Linked DNA regions of Anolis sagrei. The main gene of each other region encodes a partner of the protein of the gene in region 3 in a complex. Links are inferred from orthologs where the notes say so. Each region holds a gene or a part of one and is shown on either strand. Other genes may lie near its edges. The genes, in order: SNRNP40, SART1 and PRPF6.

Region 1 (3,747 bases), on a different chromosome or scaffold from region 3:
AGCATTCTTGGGGATCCATCTTACCCAGCATATTATTCTACAGAATTATTACCATCTAGCAGACGGTACAGGGTGACAAAGACAAGTTCAAACAGACTGAGAGGTTTTATCCTATAGCTCTGGCTATGTTGAACCCCACAGCTTCGCATTGATATGGCATTGAGGGCTGCGCCATAGCTATTAGAATGTGGAGAGATGGGTGTTTTGTGTTGTGTGTCGGAGAAGACATTTAATTTCATTGTGCAGTAGTACAATAAATAATAATAATAATAATAATAATAATAATAATAAACTTTATTAATATAATATAATAAAACCTCGCCACCATCTCCCTGATGGGGACTCGGGACGGCTTACATGAGGCCAAGCCCAAACAACAAATTACAGCAAAATAAAACAAAAACAATAAACAACATCATAATTACATAAAACATATGAATGCATAACGATATAAAATTACAGTAAACACAATCACAGTGACAATGGGCAGGCTACATGTAATGATTAAAAGAAAAAGAAAAGAAAAACTAATTAAAAACTGATTAAAATAAAGCTATTCTATTCTATTTGATGTATTAGTGTATATACCCAGTGTTGCTCAAGCGTCATTGGGACCACTGTCTGTTTACTTTATCCCTTCTCTGGTTCTGAGAAGGCCTTTCTTACGTTGTGAATCCAGCAAAGACTGAGATCCTATGGCTGGGTAAACCAGGCAGTGGGGATATCCAGCTGCCTACCCTGGATGGCGAGGCGCTATGCCCATCATCATTGGTAAAGAGTCTGGGAGTCCTTTTGGACCCTCTGCTGACGATGGAGGCCCAGGTCTCAGCTGTTAGCAGAACTGCCTTTTTTCATCTGCGGCAGGCTAGACGGCTGGCCCCCTACCTGTCCAGGGGCAACCTAGCTACGGTGATCCAGGCCACGGTCATCTCAAGACTGGACTACTGTAATGCCCTCTACATTGGCCTTCCTCTGTCGGTGATCCGGAAGCTCAAGTTGGTACAAAATGCAGCTGCTCGGCTTCTTGCGGGAATTCCGATGAGATGTCACATAACCCCAATCTTACTGCAGCTGCATTGGTTACCCATTGAGCACCGGATCACTTTCAAAGTGATGGTACTCACCTTTAAGGCCTTGCATGGTCTGGGGCCGATGTACCTGAGGGACCGCCTCACCCCCTTCCAACCCCAGAGATCCCTCCGTTCTGAGGACCAAGATCTATTGGAAATTCCCAGTGTCAAGACCTTGCGTCTAACAGCAACCAGGCGCAGAGCCTTCACAGCAGTGGCACCATCACTCTGGAACACTCTGCCACCTGAAGTCCGTGCCTTGCGGGACTTCCCAGCTTTCCGCAGGGCATGTAAGACATACCTGTTTCGATAGGCTTTTAATGTTTGATATTGCTGTTTTTAATTTGTTTTAAATTGCTTTTAAATTGTGTTAGATTTTAGCCATTCTTGTAAGCCGCTCCGAGCCCCAGGGGAGTGGCGGCATATAAGTTTAAATAATAAATAAATAATCCGTCAATCCAAAAAAGAAAAGACTAAATCAGTAGAGTAAGGTTACCTCAATCATGTCATGCATAGACAGTCCAGTAGCTGGGAAAGAAATAAAAGTTAGAGCCATGGAGGCATTACTTTTTGACCCACCCGGGTATATGCCATCTATGGGCCAACATGGGCCTTCCCTCCAGGTGTTTTGGACTCCAACTCCCACCATTCCTAGCAGTTTCAGGTCCTTTCCTTTTCCCCCTCGGCCGCTTAAGCGGAAAAGGAAAGGGAAAAGGAAGGGGCCTACGGCTGTGAGGAACGGTGGGAGTTGCAGTCCAAAACACTGAATGGAGGCAGAGACGGCCCAAGTTGGCCCAGGCCTGGTAAAAGACACTGCCTGCCGACTTCCTCTGCCGTAGAGTCTAACCCGGGAGGCGAGGCCCGAGGCCTGCGGCCTGCCAGTGCACTCACCGCGGGCAGCAGGGCGCCCGGGGGCCCCGAAGGAGGGCCAGCCCCGGCGGCGTCTTGGCGGGGCTTCTTCGCCGCCGCCACCACCAAGGCCAAGTCCGTAGGCGCCTTCCGTTTCTGCGGGTCCAGCATAGCCGCGGAGAGACAGAACAGGCCTCACACCCTACCCGAAAGAGGACTGCGCTCCCTCCTTTCTCATTGGTCGCCTCATACCCAATCGGCAGCTTCTCGGAATATAGAGCACCCCGATTGGACGGGGCTGAGCCCACCCCTTATGTACGCCGTATGCCGATTGGTTGGGAGGAAGAAAGCGCCTCTGTTGGGGTTTCCGGAAAGGCGGACGTGCTGAGTGGCGGAGGACAGCGTCCACAGGCGTCAAACGGCTCTGAAGTAAGTAATCCCCTGGCAGGGAGGGGGCCTTCTCGTTGTTTTTGACTGTCGTCAAGTCATCTTTGCCTTACGAAGAAGTTGGGTTGGAAGAGAACCCATGGCGAATCCAGTCCAACCCCCTCATGCCTTCATGCAAGAAAATCACCACCAAAGCTCCCCCGACAGATGGCCACCCAGCCTCAGTATTAATTAATTAATCTATATAAATAAAAACCACTGGACGAATTGACACCAAATTTGGACACAAGACACCTAACAACCCAATGTATGTCCTTCACTCAAAAAAATTGATTTTGTCATTTGGGAGTTGTAGTTGCTGGGATTTATAGCTCACCTACAATCAAAGAGCATTGTGAACCCCACCAACGAGGGAATTGAACCAAACTTGGCACACAGTTCTCCCATGACCAACAGAAAATACTAGAAGAGTTTCGTGGGCAGTGTCCTTTGGTTTTGGAGTTGTAGTTCATCTACATCCAGAGATCACTGTGGACTCAAACAATGATGGGTCTGGACCAAACTCTACATGAATACTCAATATGCCCAAGTGTGAACACTGGTAGAGTTTGGGGAAAATAGAATCTTGACATTTGGGAGTTGTAGTTGCTGGGACTTATAGTTCACCTACAATCAATGGGCATTCTGAATCCCATTTTCTGTACCCCCCCCCCCAATCCCATTTCCCAAATTTTGGCAAACCTGATTTTAAAAAGCCCTTGACTGGGGAAATACAGGGAAACCTAAAACATAGTCCATTTGTGTTGTTGAAGGCTTTCGTGGCCTGAATCACTGGGTTGCTTGAGTTTTTAGGGCTGTATGGTCATGTTCCAGTAGCATTATTTCCTGACGTTTCACCTGCATCTGTAGACCTATGAAGACGCCAGCCACAGATGCAGGCGAAACGTCAGGAAGGAATGCAACTGGAACATCTACTTCATCACACTAGTGAATCCACTTTAAATCTGGTTTCTGCCTCCTGCAGAATTATGAGGCTTGTAATTTAGTGAAGCTGTTCAAGGCTCTTCTTTAAGCTACAAACCCCAGAATTCTTCAAGAGGTAGCAACCAGATTTAAAGTGGATTCATTCTCTAGTGTGATGAGCTCGATGGTCATATAGCCCAAAAAACTCATAGGAACCAAGTCAATTTGCCCCCTTGATCTCTAGGGCAGTGTTTATCAAACTGTGCTCCTCCAGGTGTTTCAGACTCCCAGAAATTGCAGCCAGCTGTTATAAATTGTGGGAGCTGAAGTCCAAAACATCTGGAGGAGCAGTTTGAGAAACTCTGCTCTAGGGAACATAGCAAGGCCTATTTAACTTTTTAAATACCCAGATTTGGGACACATGCTGGGAAAATGCAATCCTTGGAAGTTCCCATGCCAAGGTAATTCCTCACCTCTC
Region 2 (3,747 bases), on a different chromosome or scaffold from region 3:
TGCAGGGAGACCTTTCTAGGGATTTTCGCAACAGGCCGGAACCTTTCTTTTCCCCGGAAGTGAGTCTCATCAGGATTATTTTGGTGACGGACCGGAAGTGTGAGCCTATCAGGGGACTTTCGCAACAGACCGGAACCTTTCTTTCCCCGGAAGTGGGTCTCATCGGGATTATTTCGGTGACGGACCAGAAGTGAGAGCCTATCCGGGGATTTTCGCAACATACCGGAACCTTTCTTTCCCCCGGAAGTGGGTCTCATCGGGATTATTTCGGTGACGGACCAGAAGTGAGAGCCTATCCGGGGATTTTCGCAACATACCGGAACCTTTCTTTCCCCCGGAAGTGGGTCTCATCGGGATTATTTCGGTGACGGACCAGAAGTGTGAGCCTATCCGGGGATTTTCGCAACATACCGGAACCTTTCTTTCCCCCGGAAGTGGGTCTCATCGGGATTATTTCGGTGACGGACCAGAAGTGAGAGCCTATCCGGGGATTTTCGCAACATACCGGAACCTTTCTTTCCCCCGGAAGTGGGTCTCATCGGGATTATTTCGGTGACGGACCAGAAGTGAGAGCCTATCAGGGGACTTTCGCAACAGACCGGAACCTTTCTTTCCCCCGGAAGTGGGTCTCATCGGGATTATTTTGGCGACGGACCGGAAGTGTGAGCCTATCCGGGGATTTTCGCAACAGAGCAGAACCTTTTTTTCACCCGGAAGTGAGTCTTATCGGGATTATTTTGGTGCCTGGCCGGAAGTGTGAGCCTCCCCTCAGTGCAGAGTCAAGGAAGCGTCTCTGTGGAGCGGAAGCGCGGCCATTGTCCGCCGCGATGGGCTCCTCGAAGCGGCACCGGGAGCGGGGCGAGGCCCCTGAGGAGAATCCGCCTCCTTCCTCCGGGGCTCCGCCGGCCTCGTCTTCCTCCTCGTCGTCGTCCCGGCACCACCGGGAGCACAAGAAGCACAAGCACCGCAGCGGAGGGGGAGGCGGAAGCGGAGGAGGAGGAGGGAGCAGCGGCGCCGGGAGCAAGCGCAGCGGGAGCCGGGCCGAGCGGAGCCGACAGCGGGGAGGAGGCGGAGGAGGAGGAGAAGAAGGCCCGTCCTCGTCGTCCTCGCAGCGGAGGCAGGAGGGCGAGCGGAGGCCCAAGAGGGAGAAGCGCGGAGAGGCCCACGAGCAGGCCCCACAGGGAGCAAGTGAGGAATCATCATCATCATCATAACAATAATAACTAGCTGTCCCCGCCACGCATTGTTATGGTCAACCTTCCTTCCCTCTTTCCTTCCTTCCCTCCCTCTTTTTCTTTCCCTTCTTCTTTCTTCCTTCCCTACCTGTTTCTTTCCTCACTTCCTTTGCTCTTTGGTTCCATCCTTCCTTGTCTCTTTCCTTCCTTCCCTCCCTCTTTCTCTCTTTCATTCCTTCTCTCCTTCCTTCCCTCTCTCTTTCCTTCTTTCACTTTTTAATTCCTTCTCTCCTTCCTTCCTTCTCTACTTTTCTTTCCTTCCCCCCTCTTTTTCTTTCCCTTCTTCTTTCTTCCTTTTCTACACTTCTTTCTTTCCTTCATTTTCTCCTTCTCTCCTTCTCACTTCCTTTGCTCTTTGGTTCCATCCTTCCTTGTCTCTTTCCTTCCTTCCCTCCCTCTTTCTCTCTTTCATTCCTTCTCTCCTTCCTTCCTTCCCTCTCTCTTTCCTTCTTTCACTTTTTTAATTCCTTCTCTCCTTCCTTCTCTACTTTTCTTTCCTTCCCCCCTCTTTTTCTCTTTGTTCCTTCTCTCCTTCCCTCCCTCTTTTTCTTTCCCTTCTTCTTTCTTCCTTTTCTACACTTCTTTCTTTCCTTCATTTTCTCCTTCTCTCCTTCTCACTTCCTTTGCTCTTTGGTTCCATCCTTCCTTGTCTCTTTCCTTCCTTCCCTCCCTCTTTCTCTCCTTCCTTCCCCCCCTTTCCTTCTTTCACTTTTTTAAATACTTTCTTCCTTCTTTGCCTTTCTCTCCTTCTTTCTTTCTCTCCTTCCTTCCCTCCCTCTTTTTCTTTCCCTTCTTCTTTCTTCCTTCTCTACCTGTTTCTTTTCTCGCTTCCTTTGCTCTTTGGTTCCATCCCTCCTTGTCTCTTTCCTTCCTTCCTTCCCTCTTTCTTTCATTCCTTCTCTCCTTCCTTCCCTCTTTCACTTAGTTTATTCTCTCATTCCTTCCTTCTCTACCCTTCTTTCTTTCCTTCTTTCTCTCCTTCCCTCCTTCCTTCTCTTTCTTTCCTTCCTTCCCTCCTTCCCTCTTTCTTTCCCTCTTTCTGTCTCTCCTTCCTTCCCTACCCTTCTTTCCTTCCTTCTCTCCTTCCCTCCTCCTTTCCCTCTTTCTCTCCTTCCTTCCTTCTCTACCCTTCTTTCTTTCCTTCTTTCTCTCCTTCCCTTCTTCTCTCCCTCCTTTCTTCTCTTTCTTTCCTTCTTTCTCTCCTTCCCTTCTTCTCTCCCTCCTTTCTTCTCTTTCTTTCCTTCTTTCACTCCTTCCCTCTTTCTCTCCCTCCTTCTCTCCTTCCTTCCTTCTCTACCCTTCTTTCTTTCCTTAATTCTCTCCTTCCCTCCTCCTTTCCCTCTTTCTTTCCCTTCTTCTCTCCTTCCTTCCTTCTCTACACGTCTTTCTTTCCTTCTTTATCTCCTTCCCTCCTTTCCGTTCTTCTCTACCTCCTTCCTTCATTCTCTTTCTTTCCTTCATTCTCTCCTTCCCTTCTTCTTTCCCTTCTTCTCTCCCTCCTTCCTTCTTTTTCCTTCCTTCTTTCCCTCCTCCTCTCCTTTTTTCCTTCCTTCTCTACCCTTCTTTCTTTCCTTCCTTTTCTCCTTCCCTCCTTTCCCTTCTTCTCTCCCTCCTTCCCTCTCTTTCTATCCTTCTTTCCTTCCTTCCTTCTCTACCCTTCTTTCTCTCCTTCCTTCCTTCTGTACCCTTCTTTCTTTCCTTCTTTATCTCCACCCCTCCTCCTTTCCCTCCTCTCCTTTTTTCCTTCCTTCTCTACCCTTCTTTCTTTCCTTCTTTCTCTCCTTCCCTCCTTCCTTCTCCGCAGGAGGCCCAAGCGGGAGAAGCGCGGGAAGGCCCATGAGCAGGCCGCCCAGGGAGCCGGTGAGAGAGCAGGGGAAGCTCCAGGCGTCTCCCTTCTTGCCTCCTTCTTTCCTCCTCCCTGCTCTTTTTTTTCCTTCTTCTGCCCTTCCTTCTTTCTCCCCATTCTTCTTTTGTCCTTCTCCTCCTTCTCAATTTATTTATTTATGTATTTACTAGCTATCCCCTGCCAGGGCGTTGCTGTGGCCCAGTCTGGTGATCTGGAAAATCTATCTATATAAATAAAAATGTCATATTTATTTGTGGCATTAACGTAACTCAAAAACCACTGGACAAATTGACACCAAATTTGGACACAAGACACCTAACAACCCAATGTATGTCCTTCACACAATTTTTTTTGAAACTTTCATTTGGGAGTTGTAGTTGCTGAGATTTATAGTTCACCTACAATCAAAGAGCATTCTGAACCCCACAGACGATGGAATTGAGCCAAACTTGGCACACAGGACTTCCATGACAAACAGAAAATACTGGAAGGGTTTGGTTGGAATTGACCTTGAGTTTGGGAATTGTAGTTCACCTACATCTAGAGAGCACTGTGGACTCAAACAATGATGGATCTGGACCAAACTTGGCACAAGCACTCAATACACCCAAATATGAACACAGATGGAGTTTGGGGGAAATAGACTTTTGACATTTGGGAGTGGTA
Region 3 (3,747 bases):
CCTATTTCCAACAGACCTCACTACCTCTGAGGATGCTTGCCATAGATGCAGGCAAAACGTCAGGAGAGAATGCTTCTAGACCATGGCCATATAGCCCGAAAAACCTTACAACAGCCCACTCATAGGGACTGTTGGAATCAAAAATGTAAAATGTAGGCACCAGATGGCGCTGTGAATGCTCACAATATGCTCAAACAGAGAGACATATTGTAACACTACCAATTTGGATAAAACTTCAGAATTATATATAAAACAACTGTACAGATTTGGTTCATTTAAACCATGTGGATATTCTGTGCGTATACCAGTACTCAATCTGGTGGAAACCAGAGCAGAGACTCCTAGAAATCCCAGATCTTTTGCTAAAGATTCCTCTGTATGTAGGGTTGAAGATATTCTTCATTTATTTCTATTCTTCAAAGCTGAGCTGGTGCAAAAGGCATTTTTAAATGTATAAACATAAATGAATTCCATGTTTAGACTCGGATTCCATTCCCATGATATTTTGTTATGTGTATGCAAGGATTCCAAAATCGGAACAAAACTCCAAATATGGCACATTCCATCTGAACATGAGGAAGAACTTCCTGAGAGCTGTTCAGAAGTGGAACTCTCTGCCCTGGAGTGTGGTGGAGGCTCCTTCTTTGGAAGCTTTTAAACAGAGGGTGGATGGCCATCTGTCAGGGGTGATTTGAATGCAATATTCCTGCTTCTTGGCAGGGGGTTGGACTGGATGGCCCATGAGGTCTCTTCCAACTCTTTGATTCTATGATTTCTGGACATGGGATGTTCAATGGTATCGTCATCACCATCATTTCTTACTTGCCTTTTCCAATGGATTGAGGTGGGCAACAATAACAGAATTAGGAAACCAAAGGACTAGGCCATTATTAGGCCTCTATACTTAGGTATGGGCCAACTTGGACCCTTCAGGTGTTTTGGACTCCAACTCCTACCATTCCTAATAGAATTGTGGGAGTTGGAGTCCAAAACACCTGAAGGGCCCAAGTTGGTCCATGCCTGGTCTAAATGCATGCCAAAAAGGAGAGAAAAAGTAGAATTGGGGAAAAACCCTGGTCCCAAATTGAGAAACTCCCAAACTCTGGATCTCCAAGTGTTTTCCTATTTTTGGACTTCATATCCCAGAATTCCTGGCCGTTGATCAACGCAGCTGAGGCTTCTGGGAAGTGAAGTCCATAATGGAATAGAGTCAAGACGGGCCTCTGTCTCCTCCAGACGCGCATGCGTAGTCGGTTTCCGTCCTTACTGCGCATGCGTGCCGCCTTCCTCCTCAGTCGTCGCCAAGATGGCCACCGCGGCTGCTTCTTCGTCGGCCTCTGGCGCCTCTTCCTCCTCCTCCTCCGGCCCGGGAGGCTCGAGCTCATCCGGGCCCGGGGGAAGCGGAGGGTCTGCATCCTCAGGCCTCACGGCCTCGCTGACAGGGACCATGAACAGGAAGAAGAAGCCTTTCCTGGGCATGCCTGCGCCGCTGGGCTACGTGCCGGGCCTAGGCCGCGGGTGAGCCGGGGGCTCGAGTTGGGAGTTGGGCGGCCAGCGAGGCCTCGGTTTCCCTTCCATTCTGTCTCTCTCTTTGGACTTGTATCTACACTGTGGAATGAATGCACTTTTGACACTACTTTGACTTGATTGCTAGGACTCATGTTGTTTCACAAGGCCTTTAGCCTTCTCTGCCAAAAAGTACCGAACTACAACTCCCAGGATTCTATAGCAGTTAACGTGGTGTCGAACTGCATTAATTCTACAGTGTAGTTGCAACCCAAGCAATTCCTGCTTCAGTAGAAAATTGCGCTTTTCTTTCCTTCTTCCTAAAATACTAATACTAATAAACTTTATTTATTGTTGTTGTTCATTCGTTCAGTCGTCTCCGACTCTTCGTGACCTCATGGACCAGCCCACGCCAGAGCTCCCTGTCGGCCGTCACCACCCCCAGCTCCTTCAAAGTCAGTCCAGTCACTTCAAGGATGCCATCCATCCATCTTGCCCTTGGTCGGCCCCTCTTCCTTTTTCCTTCCACTTTCCCCAGCATCATTCCCTTCTCCAGGCTTTGCTGTCTCCTCATGATGTGGCCAAAGTACTTCAGCTTTGTCTCTAGTATCCTTCCCTCCAGTGAGCAGTCGGGCTTTATTTTGGCCTTGCCCTGTGCAATTTCTGTGTTTACTGTCCGATTTTATACTGCTGTCTCGTTTATTATTTAGGTTTTGCATTTTATGTTTTTTTTAGTTCTGTTATGCCTTGTGTTATATTGGGTTATGCTTTTGTGTAATATTGTGTTTACTGTATTGATGGGTGTGGCCTCATGTAAGCTGCCCCGAGTCCCCCTGGGGGAGATGGAGCAGGGTATATTATTATTATTATTATTATTATTCCGGACCCAGCTTTCATACTATTACCGCCTTCTCTGTGGTTGCCTCCCGCCTCTGGAACTTCCTCCCTAAAAATATCAAAACAGCCCCCTACTTAAAATAATGTAAAAATACAGTAAATTAATAAATAGGAAAGGGTATAAATAATGTTTATTGTTATTAGTGGGATGGGCATACCAAGCCACCTTGTCTCTCTCCTGAGGAATTTGTACAAGGACCAAGTAGCAACAGTCAGAACTGACCACGGAACAACAGACTGGTTCAAGATTGGGAAAGGCGTACGGCAAGGCTGCATACTCTCACCCAACCTTTTAACTTGTATGCAGAACACATCATGTGAGGATGTGCAGGGCTTGATGAATGCAAGGCTGGGGTGAAAATTGCTGGAAGAAACATTAACAACCTCAGATATGCAGATGACACCACTCTGATGGCCGAAAGCGAGGAGGAGCTGAGGAGCCTTCTAATCAAGGTGAAAGAAGAAAGCGCAAAAGCTGGGTTGCAGCTAAACGTCAAAAAAACCAAGATCATGGCAACAAGAATGATTGACAACTGGAAAATAGAGGGAGAAAATGTGGAGGCCGTGACAGACTTTGTATTTCTAGGTGCAAAGATGACTGCAGATGCAGACTGTGGCCAGGAAATCAGAAGACGCTTCCTTCTTGGGAGGAGAGCAATGTCCAATCTCGATAAAATAGTAAAGAGTAGAGACATCACACTGGCAATAAAGATCCGCCTAGTCAAAGCCATGGTATTCCCTGTAGTCACCTATGAATGTGAGAGCTGGACCTTAGGGAAGGCTGAGTGAAGGAAGAGAGATGCTTTTGAGCTGTGGTGTTGGAGGAAAGTGCTGAGAGTGCCTTGGACTGCGAGAAGGATAAAAATTTTAAATTTTAAAACACTGGGAGATTGGGCAATGGAAATTGTTGGGGAGGGAGATCCAGATTGAGGAAGGAATTAATTGCACGAACCATAAAGTCCTTCTGAAGTCATTTGTACGAAATTTGGTCAGGGAGTATCTTACATTCAATCATTGAAGGCACGTTGGAATAACCAGGTTTTCAGATTCCTCCTGAAGATTGCCAGTGTGGGGGCTTGCCGAATGTCTCTGGGGAGTGAATTCCAGAGCCGGGGGGCTATCACAGAGAAGGCCCTTTCTCTCGTCTCCACAAGTCGCACTTGCGATGCAGGCGGGAGCGAGAGAAGAGCCTCTCTGGACGATCGAGCTTTACGCTCTTTCCACTTCGCTCCTTCAGGAGTGCTGTTTGCGCAACGCAGAACAGAACACAGATATTGTAGAAGGAATGTAACAATTCTTTAATGGCAAAACCTTAACCCAGAGGCTGGATAGTCATCTGTTAAG

Evidence for each region.
Region 1: PRPF6 (region 3) and SNRNP40 share a complex: the UniProt entries of both Homo sapiens proteins name them as parts of the U4/U6-U5 tri-snRNP complex. The link is inferred for Anolis sagrei from reciprocal best matches to the Homo sapiens genes PRPF6 and SNRNP40.
Region 2: PRPF6 (region 3) and SART1 share a complex: the UniProt entries of both Homo sapiens proteins name them as parts of the U4/U6-U5 tri-snRNP complex. The link is inferred for Anolis sagrei from reciprocal best matches to the Homo sapiens genes PRPF6 and SART1.

Annotation. Positions count from the first base shown.
Region 1 is NC_090034.1:63,888,763-63,892,509, reverse strand, and holds the start of SNRNP40 (U5 small nuclear ribonucleoprotein 40 kDa protein), read right to left. Parts: upstream 2,169-3,747; 5' UTR 2,091-2,168; coding exon 1,962-2,090; intron 1-1,961. UniProt on the Homo sapiens protein: Required for pre-mRNA splicing as component of the activated spliceosome. Component of the U5 small nuclear ribonucleoprotein (snRNP) complex and the U4/U6-U5 tri-snRNP complex, building blocks of the spliceosome.
Region 2 is NC_090032.1:21,968,714-21,972,460, forward strand, and holds the start of SART1 (U4/U6.U5 tri-snRNP-associated protein 1), read left to right. Parts: upstream 1-773; 5' UTR 774-827; coding exon 828-1,188; intron 1,189-3,747. UniProt on the Homo sapiens protein: Plays a role in mRNA splicing as a component of the U4/U6-U5 tri-snRNP, one of the building blocks of the spliceosome. May also bind to DNA.
Region 3 is NC_090024.1:237,895,828-237,899,574, reverse strand, and holds the start of PRPF6 (pre-mRNA-processing factor 6), read left to right. Parts: upstream 1-1,290; 5' UTR 1,291-1,306; coding exon 1,307-1,518; intron 1,519-3,747. UniProt on the Homo sapiens protein: Involved in pre-mRNA splicing as component of the U4/U6-U5 tri-snRNP complex, one of the building blocks of the spliceosome.